Linked DNA regions of Drosophila melanogaster. The protein of the gene in region 3 purifies or fractionates together with the protein of the main gene of each other region. This does not show direct contact. Each region holds a gene or a part of one and is shown on either strand. Other genes may lie near its edges. The genes, in order: CG15084, Dera and Naa20A.

Region 1 (3,600 bases), on a different chromosome or scaffold from region 3:
CTTGAAGCTGGACAAAACGGTACCAATCGATCGACTGATCAAGGGTCGCTTCCAGGACAACTTTGAGTTCCTGCAGTGGTTCAAGAAGTTCTTCGACTCGCAGGCTCCGGGCTTGGAGAACATTAAGTCGCTGGCCAATGCGCCGTTGGCAAAGCCCATAAAGCCGCGCCAATTCGCCAAGGAGCGATCACCAGTCAACGCCAATGATGATGCGCTCAAAGAGCTGATTGATGAAATGAAGAACCTAAGCCTGAAGCGGGAGGACATCATGGAGGCCAGCAATCAGATCTACAACAAACTGCGCCTGGTCGAGGATTTGGTCAACGACATGATCAACAACAACCAGCTAGTTGAGTTGTGCAAACGCATTCAAGCGGTGCTCTACAAAACGATAGATGGTGAAATCAACGAGGAACCCGTCGAGGTTAATGAGGATAATGGTGATGAAGGCGCCGAACACGCGGATCCCAATGACGGATTATATTAGAATTCTTTTTATTTGTACTTATTTTGTTTTATACAATCATTTAATTATTTATAAAGAAAGCATTATAAAATCAGCCGTTGGAATCATTGTCTGAGGAGGAGTAATCCCCCACTAAGCTTATGGGTTTTTCGTTCGTGGCTGAAGATGTAGTTTCTTCCAACTTTTTACGCCGTATGCCAAGATCCTGTACTTGGAGCTGGGTATTCAGAACCTTTTGTCGCTTGAGTCCACCAAATGTGGTGACTGTTGCTCCGGGAAGCGCTGGACGCATAAGCAGCTCCAACCGCTGCTCGGATTCCCGTTCCAGAGCTGACTTCGTCTGCAACTTCATCAGGGCTGCCATTTCGCGATCTTGTGTGGTCTCCGGAAGGAGAGCAATGTCCAAGCTGCTCTTGGCCAACAACTGTCGATCCAGCTCCTGCTGACCATTGATCTCTTTCTTCTGCTGGCGAAACTCGGCGCGTAGGCGACTATTGGCCATATAGCTGTCATCCCAGACGCTCATGTTGCGCTCCACTAGTTTCTGGAGCACGGGCCTGGCATCTGCCCCTGCCTTAGCATCCTTGGCTTGATGCTCCAACTTGTACATGGCATCGTCGAAGAGACGCTTTTGTACCTCCTTGGTTTCCGGTACAACTTGTTCGTTCTGCAAGGGATCCCAGCGGTTCTCCTGCCGTCTAGCCCCCGAAAGTATAACATAGTCCAAATTGCCGGGATCCGTCTGGATCTCAAAGTGGTTGTCGCACAAGTGGCACTTCATCCGGAACTTAAAAACCGGCGTAGTGTAGTACATGCCCACCTTGGTCTTCTCCGCATTGTAGCGCACGCCCATGCCGATGTGGTTCTTGCATCCATCACACCAGATATTGTAGGGCATCTCAAAGCGGATGATGATGATTCCCAGGTGAATCTTGCGGGCCCGTTCCCGCAGGGCGTGGGTTCCCTGGAACTTGTTGAGACCGCCCTTCTTCGGATCATAGTCGGGCGGATAGTACTTGTTCTGTCCCTTGCGTTCACCCATTTTTTAAGTGGATAGGATTACTTAAATATTTAAACTAATTACAAGCTCAATCTTTTGCTGTCAAATGTAAATAAACATTTCTGCTTTTTTTAAATCAGCTGTTTCGGGTCGCTGGTGATGACATTATCGGTGGTGCGGAAAACGCTAAAAATAGCCAGAAAATCATATATGAATTAGTCTTGTTATTATTAGTCATATTACAATTAATATGTAATAAATATGACCTACTATATTACCTGTTACTTTAATGCCAACTGTTTATTTCAAATTATTTGACATATAAAATAAATAAGTAATCGATAACATCACCGACGGCGTGACAGCTTTTCCATCTGTCCCATCACCAAAATAATAGTTTCTCGTGGGCATCGTCAAAACTTTGGTTGGATTTTTAACCCTTTTTGCCACGTAAATTGAATTAGAATTAGCGTCCGATCCAGGCAAAATGATAATCTACACGAATGATGGCAACCCGCTGGGACTGCAGCTGCTAATGCTCGCCAAATTTGCCAAGCAGCCGGTGCAGGTGCAGTTGGTTAACCTAAATGGTGAGTTCTGCCACGGATTCCCTTCGAATTCTGGGGAATGCTCTGAAAATGACTCATTTCTGATGCAATAACTATTGTTAATTGCAGACGCTAAGTACAAGGACTTGCTGGTGCTGCCCACTTTGGAGCTGGACAACGGATTGCGTTTGTTCTCGCCGGCGGCCATTGCCAAGTACCTTTTCGTGGGCAAGGGGCAGCAGCGCGATGAGGTATGGGTTCCGAAAATTACTTATTGGCCCATTGACCCCTGAAGGTTAAACTAATTCCCGTATGTGCTCTCTCCCTAGTGGCTGGAATGGTCTGCCACGTTGCTGGCCCCGGCTTTGGCCCACCACATGGCTGTGGGCCACAAGGCAGATGCAAACGCGCTGCCCGTGCTGAATGCTCTGGTCAAGAAGCTGGATGACAAACTGAAAGCTACCCCCTACCTGGCTGGCGACAAACCCAGTGCCGCCGACATCGCCATTTGGTCGCTCCTTGCTCCCGATGGCACTCTCAAGGGAGCACAGAACGTGGACAACTTGAGGGATTGGTATGGCAGGGTGAAAGCGCTTCCCGAAGTTCAGGAAGTTCTTGCCGAACAGCCACTAAAGGATCTAAGCTTTAATGCTCTGCAGCAGTCAAATCGCTATGGAGGTTTGCATCATGTACCATTAAAACGTCTCAGCCTGGCGGATGCAAGCAAACTTCTTGTGGATACCACGCCAACGGTGGCGGATACTGTTACGAATGAGGAAATAAGCGCGGCGAAGGCTGCCTTTACCTACACAGCTCCAAAGGAAATCAAGGAGGAGCGAACTGTTCTTCCCAAGCCCGGTGAGCGTAACGTGCTCATCACCTCGGCGCTTCCCTATGTCAACAATGTGCCACATTTGGGCAACATCATTGGTTGTGTTCTCTCTGCGGATATCTATGCTCGTTACTCGCGTTCTGCTGGCTACAACACACTCTTGATTTGCGGCACGGATGAGTACGGTACGGCCACCGAGAACAAGGCACTGGCAGAGAACCTTACTCCCCGTGAGATCTGCGACAAGTACTTCGAACTGCACAACGCCATTTACCGCTGGTTCGGCATTGGCTTTGATTACTTTGGACGCACCACAACCCAAGAGCAAACAGAGTAAGTTTTGGCTGCTTAAGCAATGATATCCTTATCAAAAAACGCTTGTTTTTTACAGCATTGTCCAGGAGGCATTTAAGGATGTCCTCAAAGCTGGCTATATCATCACAGAGAGCGTGGAGCAGTTGCTTTGCCAAAAGTGTGATCGTTTTCTGGCTGATCGGTGGGTATTTCTGGTACACTATTTCAAGCTCCAACTTACCCATTATTCTGCTATAGTTTTGTCGAGGGTACTTGCCCGCATCCTGGTTGCGGCTATGAAGATGCCCGCGGTGATCAGTGCGACAAGTGCGGAAAGTTGGTCAACGCCACTGAGCTGATCCGTCCCAGATGTAAGGTGTGCAACAGTGCCCCAGTCCTGCGTTCCTCCGATCAGTTGTTCATCGATTTGCCAAAGGCGGAACCACAACTCAAGGAGTGG
Region 2 (3,828 bases), on a different chromosome or scaffold from region 3:
CAGGTAAAGATTCCGGATAATCAGCCCCACAAGGAGCCAGCTGCGCCCACAGAGCTCTTGCAGCATGGCGAAGAGCAGGCCGAGGAAGATTTGATGGCGGCTCCTGCGCAGTTAGCCTTTAACTTCAAGTCTCCCGTCCAGGAAGAACGTCGAACATAGATGCGGTTTTTTTTGCTATAGGTTTTAGTCAGTTGTATAAAAAAGCTACAATAAATGCACTTAGAGTGAGTAAAGTCCAGAATACGGATTCGACCAGTTGGCCTCCTCCTACTTCTTCCGCAGCTCCTTGCAGAAGGTCTCGGCAGCAGCAGCCTCGCGAGACACGGGCACATTTTTCTGAGCCTCATCCTCCTCGAGTTTTTTGACACCCTGACGCACAACGCGTTCAATGTCGTCCAGCAATCCGGAGGCTCCGAAACGGAACCTCTCGGGACGCAACCAGCGGATGCCAAGAGTTTCGTTGACCAACGTCATCCAGGCGATCGCATCTCGTACAGTCTTTACTCCTCCGGCTGGCTTAAGGCCCACAATCTGGCACGTGCGTCGTTTGAATTCCTGAATGGCAAATATCATGACCAGGCCAACGGGCAGGGTGGCGTTGACTGTCTCCTTTCCCGTTGAGGTCTTGATAAAATCCGCTCCGGCCATCATGCAAACCATGGCTGCTTTGTAAACCTAAAGAAATTAATGGATTTGAATGGTATTTTAGTATAGGGATTAGGCGATATTGATCTCACATTATCCATGGTGCCCAGCTCCCCGATGGCCAGAATTGTTTTTAGGTGAGCCCTTTGTCCACAGGCACTGCGCATAAGGACCACCTCGTTGTACATGGCCTCCCAGTCGCCAACGAGGGCCAACTGGCGATTGATCACAATGTCGATCTCTGTGGCTCCAGCAAGAATGGCGTGGCTGATCTCCTGCAGGCGGGTCTGCAGGCCGTACTGGCCCGTGGGAAATCCCGTGGCCACCGCTGCAATAGCCACCTTATCCAGTTTGTCGTACTGTTGGATAGCTAAATAGGCGTCCTTTACCCTGGCGGGATAAACGCAAACGGCGGCCGTGTGCATCTCTGGGATGAGAGCCCGGTCGAAGAACTTGTCAAAGAACTGCGGCTCGAAGGGATAGCAGGCGCGTAGGCATAGTCTCCGCACATTGGCAGCCGTATCATCGCCCGCCAAGGTGGTAAGATCTGTCAGCATCAGAGCCCTCAGCGCCCAGGCGATTTCGTTGGCTCCGGTGACATGGCATCGCTGGGACACCGTCAAAGCGATCTCCTCGACCTGCCGCAGCGAGATGTTTACCTTAAGCAGGGAGGGATCTGCGAAATATATATGTATATATTTAAATTCGTACTATTGTGCGAATTCTTACCATAGGGCAGGGTTTTGTTTACTTCCAATTCCTTCACATCCATGCTGCTCATTGCTGTCAAACGAAAATTTAGCTGACTAAATTCCACTTGAAGATAAAATCGTTCGATCGCCGATCTTGACCTCTAATCTTCTACTCAACCTCAACCGAAGAACATGGAGAGTCTTATCAATTTGCTTGTTGGACAGCTGATGACGACGTTGCCAGACCGTTCGCATTAACTGATAATTTATGAGATGGATTCCGTTAAAAGATCACCGATATTAACAATAAGTAAATTTGTTATGTAAAACTCCACAGCTTGCTGTTTAATAAAGCCAATCGCTTAGGTAACTTTGTCTATTTTTTATTGTCTTAATACTTGCGAAATACACCTAATTTTAATATTGCATTTTCGATATGAAATTTGTAAGTACAAGATATTGTGAATTTTAAAATACCGCGTCAGCGAGGTAGAAAACATGTAATTTTTATAGCGCTAATTGAACTACTGCTTTGTGACAAGGGGTTTTCATCGATGTTTGGCCCACTGCTCCCAGTACTCCCTCTTCTGCATTTCATAGAGTCGAGATAGTGTGCGATCAAAGGCGAACAGCTCTTCCTCGCCGGTGAAAAAACTGGCTTTGGATTCTTTCTGTAAACAAAAACGTGTTGATTTTAATGGTAGAAGAATGAGTTACTAACTTACTATATTTAGATCGTCCATTAGGGTTCGCTCAGAATCGGACAGAGTTTTGGAACCTCCAGTAAAGCTGAACAAGTTTTCCAGCGCAACGTCGGATGATATCACCACACGCACTCGGTTATTGTAAAGGGTATCTATGAGCGTGATAAATCGTCGCATCTGTGCCTTCACATCAAGGGTCAGCTGGGGCACATCTCGGATGAGGACGGTGTGAAAGAATTGCGATATCTGTAAGAAATCACTGCCAGCCAAAGGCTAATGCGGAATATGTTGAGTATGGGTAAGATTATGTATTAATACTTTGCTTACGCGATCACAGAGTTCCGAGAAGGTGCTGTCCAGTACCTGGCCACACGTGCGATTGAAGGTCAGATCTCTTCCGAAATGAGTCAGGGTTCGCGGCCGGATAATATCGTTTTCTTCGGCGCACAGGATCTTGAACATGCGATTCATACTGCCGTCCGCATCCGTTTGGCCTTTGACGAAGTAGTTGGTGTCACCAGATTGGGCTATACGTCGGTAGTCAATAGAATCCAACTGGGACACCTTACAGCGACGCTGAAGTAACGCAATGAAGGGCAGAAAGTTCGTGCGCTGCAGTCCGTTCTTGTACAGATCCTCTGGATGCCGATTGCTGGTGGCCACAACCACAATGCCATGGCGGAAAAGGTGCGTAAACAATCTCTTTAGCACCATGGCGTCGGCTATGTCCGTCACCTGAAATTCATCGAAGCAAATCAACCAGGACTCACTGGCAATCAGGTCAGCAACCGGTTTTGTGGGATCAAATGGTGCTGGTTTTTCAGAATTAAAGGCACGGTCAACAGGTCCTTGTCTCTGCTTGGCCTCGTGGATGCGGGTGTGCACGGTGTTCATGAACGAAGTAAAATGGACGCGCTGCTTTCGATGAATCTGAAAGTCACAAGTCATGTGAATATGGGCCTCGAGAAATACTCATTCATCACTTACTTGGGTACAGCAGTCGAAGAACAGGTCCATCAGAGTGGTCTTGCCCACACCCACGCTGCCGTACAGGTACAGACCCTGAGGAGCGTGACTGCCAGCGTTAGGATCATCCTGATCGTCATCTTCGGTGGAAGATTTCCTACCAAAGATTGAACTGAAGAATCCTCCGCCGCCACCGCCCGCCCTGTAGCTGGGTTTATACCCCTGAATCTTGTGGTACAGCGCATCCAGCTCCTTCATCGTCTGCAGCTGCCTGTTGTCGGTCATCAGTTGGCCAGAACTAACACGCTTCTCATATTCCTTCAGCGGACTGAGACCGCTCATGTGGCAGGCGGGCGCCCATAGGAGCAGCGGCTTCTGCCGCGCACAGCGGACCACAAGCCCCAGTTGGTAGGTGAACATAGCAGAGTGCCACAATTAGCGCTTAACTAGGAGCTAAATCCGCGTCATCTAGACATTACATAAAACTAGAGACCTCACTTCCGCGAATTTTGACCGCGAATTTCGGTTGTTGGCCGTGAAATTTTCCCAAACCAGGGCTGGAAACAACAACAGCTGATCTGACAGCTGTTCGCACGGATGCCATAAGGTTGCAAGAGCTGCCAGATTATTTTGAGCAACCGCATTTTAAAATTTAAAATTGCTAAAATTTGCTAACAAAAAATGGACAGTAAGAAATTAATACTTTAGGGCTTATTTTAAAACGGTTTTTTGAAAGATTTTCGAATCAATAGAATAAAATTTAATTCCACAGAGCAAAAATATTTCTTAAGCCTTTGAAAAAATTTTAGATTGTTTTCTAA
Region 3 (3,828 bases):
CAGGGGGTTTATTTTCTTTTTATTCTCAAAATGGTTTTCTATGCAGCAGCACATTAGTAAATGGGAATCGGTCGATAAAGCACATGGCGATGGCGATGGCGATGGCTGTGGCTATGCCCACATCCGCCGCGAATCGTTCCACTTAGTGATCGTGTCGCATTTGTCTGCGCAGCTCGCGCATTGTGATCTGCAAAAAAAAAACTGGATATGGTCAGAGGATCGTGTGCGGGCTAGATGGGTGGTCATAGCGTTGGCGTTAGATACTGGTTGTCATTTACGATGATGAAGTAATCAAGTTGCTTACGTTATTTACCTTCAGAACTGTGGAACAATCTTTGTGTTTGTGGTTATTTACGCATCGGCTTACGAAATCTTTAAATAATTTCAAAGTCAATAGAATTATCGAGAATTTGTGCTGAATTTGGTAACGGAGCGGTCATGTAACTTAATTACAGGCTTAGTTTCGGTTGGGAAATAATGCACGCAAATACTGGCGCCGGGGGATTGGTTCGCAAGCGGGATGGGAATCCGGTCATAATCGAATCGCATGTTATCACCGGGCAGATCACGGGATTATGGGTTATTTACATTGCTAAATTAACTAGAATTCAATGGGCTGCGAAGTGATGCGCTCGCGCCCATTTCAAATGGTGGATCGGGATTAGTTAGACATAAATGCGTTTTCGGGCGCTACTGGGTTGATATCGTATCAATTCATATCTATATGTTCCAGTCGTACAGGCTGCGTGTACGGTATGACCGACTTTTTGTTGACGTCCCTGGATAAGGCCTTTCTCATGTCTGCAAAGTGGGTAAAGCATCGATTGTTAGGCGCCTCTTAGAAGTCAATGCAAATTCTGTGCGCTCTCACCGTACGCATCCTCGTCCTGGTCGCCGGAGTAGTACTCAAGTATGGTGCGGTATATGATGTAGCCAAGGTTCGTGTACATGTTTATTGCCACCTGGTTGCTCTTCCTCACAAAAAGATCCACAAAGTATGCTCGCTTTCTGGGGGCGAGAAAAAGTAGTCGTTTAGTCTGTATTGATATCCAACGAATTGGGGCTGGAATTACTTCTCCGAAATGTCCTCCAGGAAACTCATGAGCAGCGCAGCCAGACCAAGGCGCCGGTAGTCGGGCGAGACGGTCAGCGCAGTCACGTGTCCGTGCCAGTTGTCCAGGTGTCCCTCCACCTTGCCCATGACTAGAGAATGTAGAGCACACTTGATAGGGGAACTCGTGCACACAGTGAAATGCAGTACTTACTGTAGCCCATTATTTGTCCGCTGGGCGACTCCGCAAGCTGAAAGTACTCCGGCCACTTGGCCAGGTACTGGGTGTAGAAGGACAGCCCGTAGGTCTCCGTAAGTGGGTCAAAGTTTCTGGCGGAGCACACGGCGGTATTGGTATTAGCCTCGGATATGCGCATGTGGATATCCACTGTACTCACACATTGTTGAACTTAAAGAGGTCGTCGCAGGTGAAGGGTCGCAACGTGGTCATCTTATCACTTAATCTCGGCTAATCCGATCCTTTTTATTGCTCCTATAAAATTGCTATACTCGCCGGCAATAGAGATGCGCCGCGGTCGATGGCAAGTTATCGATAGCCTGGAAGCGAGCTTTCCCACAAATCGGTTACCGCGCAATGCAGCCGCGGTCACACTACTAGCACTTCCATTTCCACGCTAGGTCCTGTCCTCGCTCTTCTTCTTCCTCTGCCTCCAGCTGGTATCTGTTGCCTGGCCATGGAACAGTCTCAGTCTCAACGGCAGGCGTGGCCTTCGTCCTCCGCGGGGGGTGGCAAGGCCCAGGACTCCGGGGTGCTGACGCGCGAGGACTTCGACGGCGGACCGGTCAGCATCGACGAGGTGGACACAGGCCTGTTTCTAGGTAAGCATATAGCTCTAATCCTTGTGATCGATGCATTTCTCAACCCTTCCTTACACCACCAGGCAACCTGACCGCGGCGACGCACATGGAGACGCTGCGCTCCTTCAAGATCACCCACATCCTCACGCTGGATTCGGTCCCGCTGCCGCAGCACATTCTGGAGGCCAGCTTTCTGACCACCAAATATATACAGAGTAAGCACACAGATCGGTAGCTTCGTGAATGTGCAACAACTTCACTGGCGTTAATCCCTGTTTCAGTTGCCGACATGCCGCGCGAAGATATTCTGCAGCATCTGGAGGGCTGCGTTGACTTTATCAGCTCGGCCCTGGCCCAGCAGGGCAATGTCCTTGTGCACTGGTGAGCATCTTACCTAGGCTGACCGGCCCACGATTTGGCCACTGACTCTTTGTGCCTTCCAACAGCTACTTCGGCGTCAGTCGCAGCTCATCCACTGTGATCGCTTACATGATGAAGCGACACAATCTGGACTTCCTGCCCGCCTACGAGCTGGTCAAGGCCAAACGGCGCTTCGTCCAGCCAAACGCTGGCTTTGTCAGCCAACTAAAGCTCTTCCGGCGCATGGGCTGCAAGATTGACCCCAACTGCCAGCGCTACAAGATCCATCGCCTGCGCCTGGCTGGCGAGCAGATGCGCAAGGCCAAGATCCTGCCGCAAAGCTTCCACAGCGTGGTCCGTCCGGATCCAGATATAACGCGCGAGAACCCGGAGCCCATAGTGTTCCGCTGTCGTCGTTGCCGCCGCGTCCTCGCCTCCAAGTCGCATGTACTGGAGCACAAGCCGCGTGACAGGCCGCCGCAGGAGGTGGTACCCAAGGAGAAAGAAGAAGTCGCTGCAGCTAAGCTGCCGGCTCAGTCACATGATCAGGCCGAAAATCATCATGGTGCTCGCATGCTGGAGCAGCTGTCCGAGCGCATCCGCCAGTCATCACTCGGTTCACCCGGCCACGAAAGCACGCCAAACTATTGCCGCAGCATACTGTTTGTGGAGCCCATCGCCTGGATGCACCGCATCATGCTGAACACCCAGGGCCGCCTGTACTGTCCCAAGTGCGAGCAGAAATTGGGAAACTTTAGCTGGATCAACGGTTGGCTATGCTGCTCCACCAGCCGATAATCCCGCCCCCCACTCATTCCTCCTAATTTATTGCAGCCTGCAAGTGTCCGTGCGGGGAGACGATGACGCCTGCATTTTATCTGATACCTTCCAAGGTGGAGCTCTCGAAGGCCGTGCAGAACGTGCAGACCACGGTTTAGGTGCAGCGTGCTGGAAATAGAGCGAGATGGCATCATCAGAGACGGGACAATTGGACTCCCTTGTCGGCTGGCAAAGAACGGCAATCGCCCACCTAAACAAAAAGCAATGGAGGCTTGGATTGATTGATCAGTGCTTATCAGTGCTGGCCAACATTGATGTCCTACATATATACATATATGGGCATTAAGTTATGTTTCTATGGGTCATTGGAGAAGTTGGGCTTCGGTTACGCTGTTGAAACATAAGTTAATTGGTCCCATTGCTGAATAGCTCCTCCACCAAGCTGAGATTTTTGAAACGCAAGCAGTTAGCTTAGTTAGTTCCCTCTTGGGAATCCGATCTCGTATCGGATATAAACTGATTGCCAGGTTTACAATATCAAAACTTCCGCGCGAAGCAAACGTAATTTAATCACAAACTAACTTCGGATTCCATTTGGTCAGTCAGTAAATATTTACTCAATTCTTAAGAATAAGAAATAATCACAGAGTATCTCATCCGATCGCAACATTGATATGTGAATCCCCAAAAGCTGAAAGAGATACGTTGATTGTTTCCAGTAGTGGTATATGGTATATTGTTTCATTTTATATAGTTAGCCAATGAATTCGCCCATGTAGCTAAATTATACACTTACTTATGTACGTGCGATATAGTGC

The links.
Region 1: the proteins of Naa20A (region 3) and CG15084 purify together in Drosophila melanogaster (affinity purification with mass spectrometry, with the first as the bait; one large-scale study listed by BioGRID). This does not show direct contact.
Region 2: the proteins of Naa20A (region 3) and Dera purify together in Drosophila melanogaster (affinity purification with mass spectrometry, with the first as the bait; one large-scale study listed by BioGRID). This does not show direct contact.

Annotation. Positions count from the first base shown.
Region 1 is NT_033778.4:18,848,844-18,852,443, reverse strand, and holds CG15084 (uncharacterized protein), read right to left. Parts: upstream 1,601-3,600; 5' UTR 1,509-1,600; coding exon 558-1,508; 3' UTR 488-557; downstream 1-487. Other genes in the region: CG18190 (uncharacterized protein), read left to right, coding at 1-487; MetRS (Methionyl-tRNA synthetase), read left to right, coding at 1,954-2,056, 2,144-2,265, 2,344-3,179, 3,238-3,342, 3,399-3,600.
Region 2 is NT_033778.4:12,423,309-12,427,136, reverse strand, and holds Dera (Deoxyribose-phosphate aldolase), read right to left. Parts: upstream 1,655-3,828; 5' UTR 1,427-1,654; coding exon 1,375-1,426; intron 1,322-1,374; coding exon 738-1,321; intron 676-737; coding exon 268-675; 3' UTR 162-267; downstream 1-161. Other genes in the region: CG13154 (uncharacterized protein), read left to right, coding at 1-159; CG8520 (uncharacterized protein), read right to left, coding at 1,886-2,008, 2,063-2,314, 2,369-2,971, 3,029-3,427.
Region 3 is NC_004354.4:19,621,464-19,625,291, forward strand, and holds the start of Naa20A (N(alpha)-acetyltransferase 20 A), read right to left. Parts: upstream 1,612-3,828; 5' UTR 1,503-1,611; coding exon 1,450-1,502; intron 1,382-1,449; coding exon 1,266-1,381; intron 1,204-1,265; coding exon 1,074-1,203; intron 1,009-1,073; coding exon 872-1,008; intron 802-871; coding exon 740-801; coding exon of another isoform or gene 710-739; exon of another isoform or gene 305-709; intron 202-304; exon of another isoform or gene 188-201; coding exon 143-187; 3' UTR 1-142. Other genes in the region: MKP-4 (MAPK phosphatase 4), read left to right, coding at 1,747-1,891, 1,954-2,085, 2,152-2,251, 2,317-2,999, 3,065-3,168.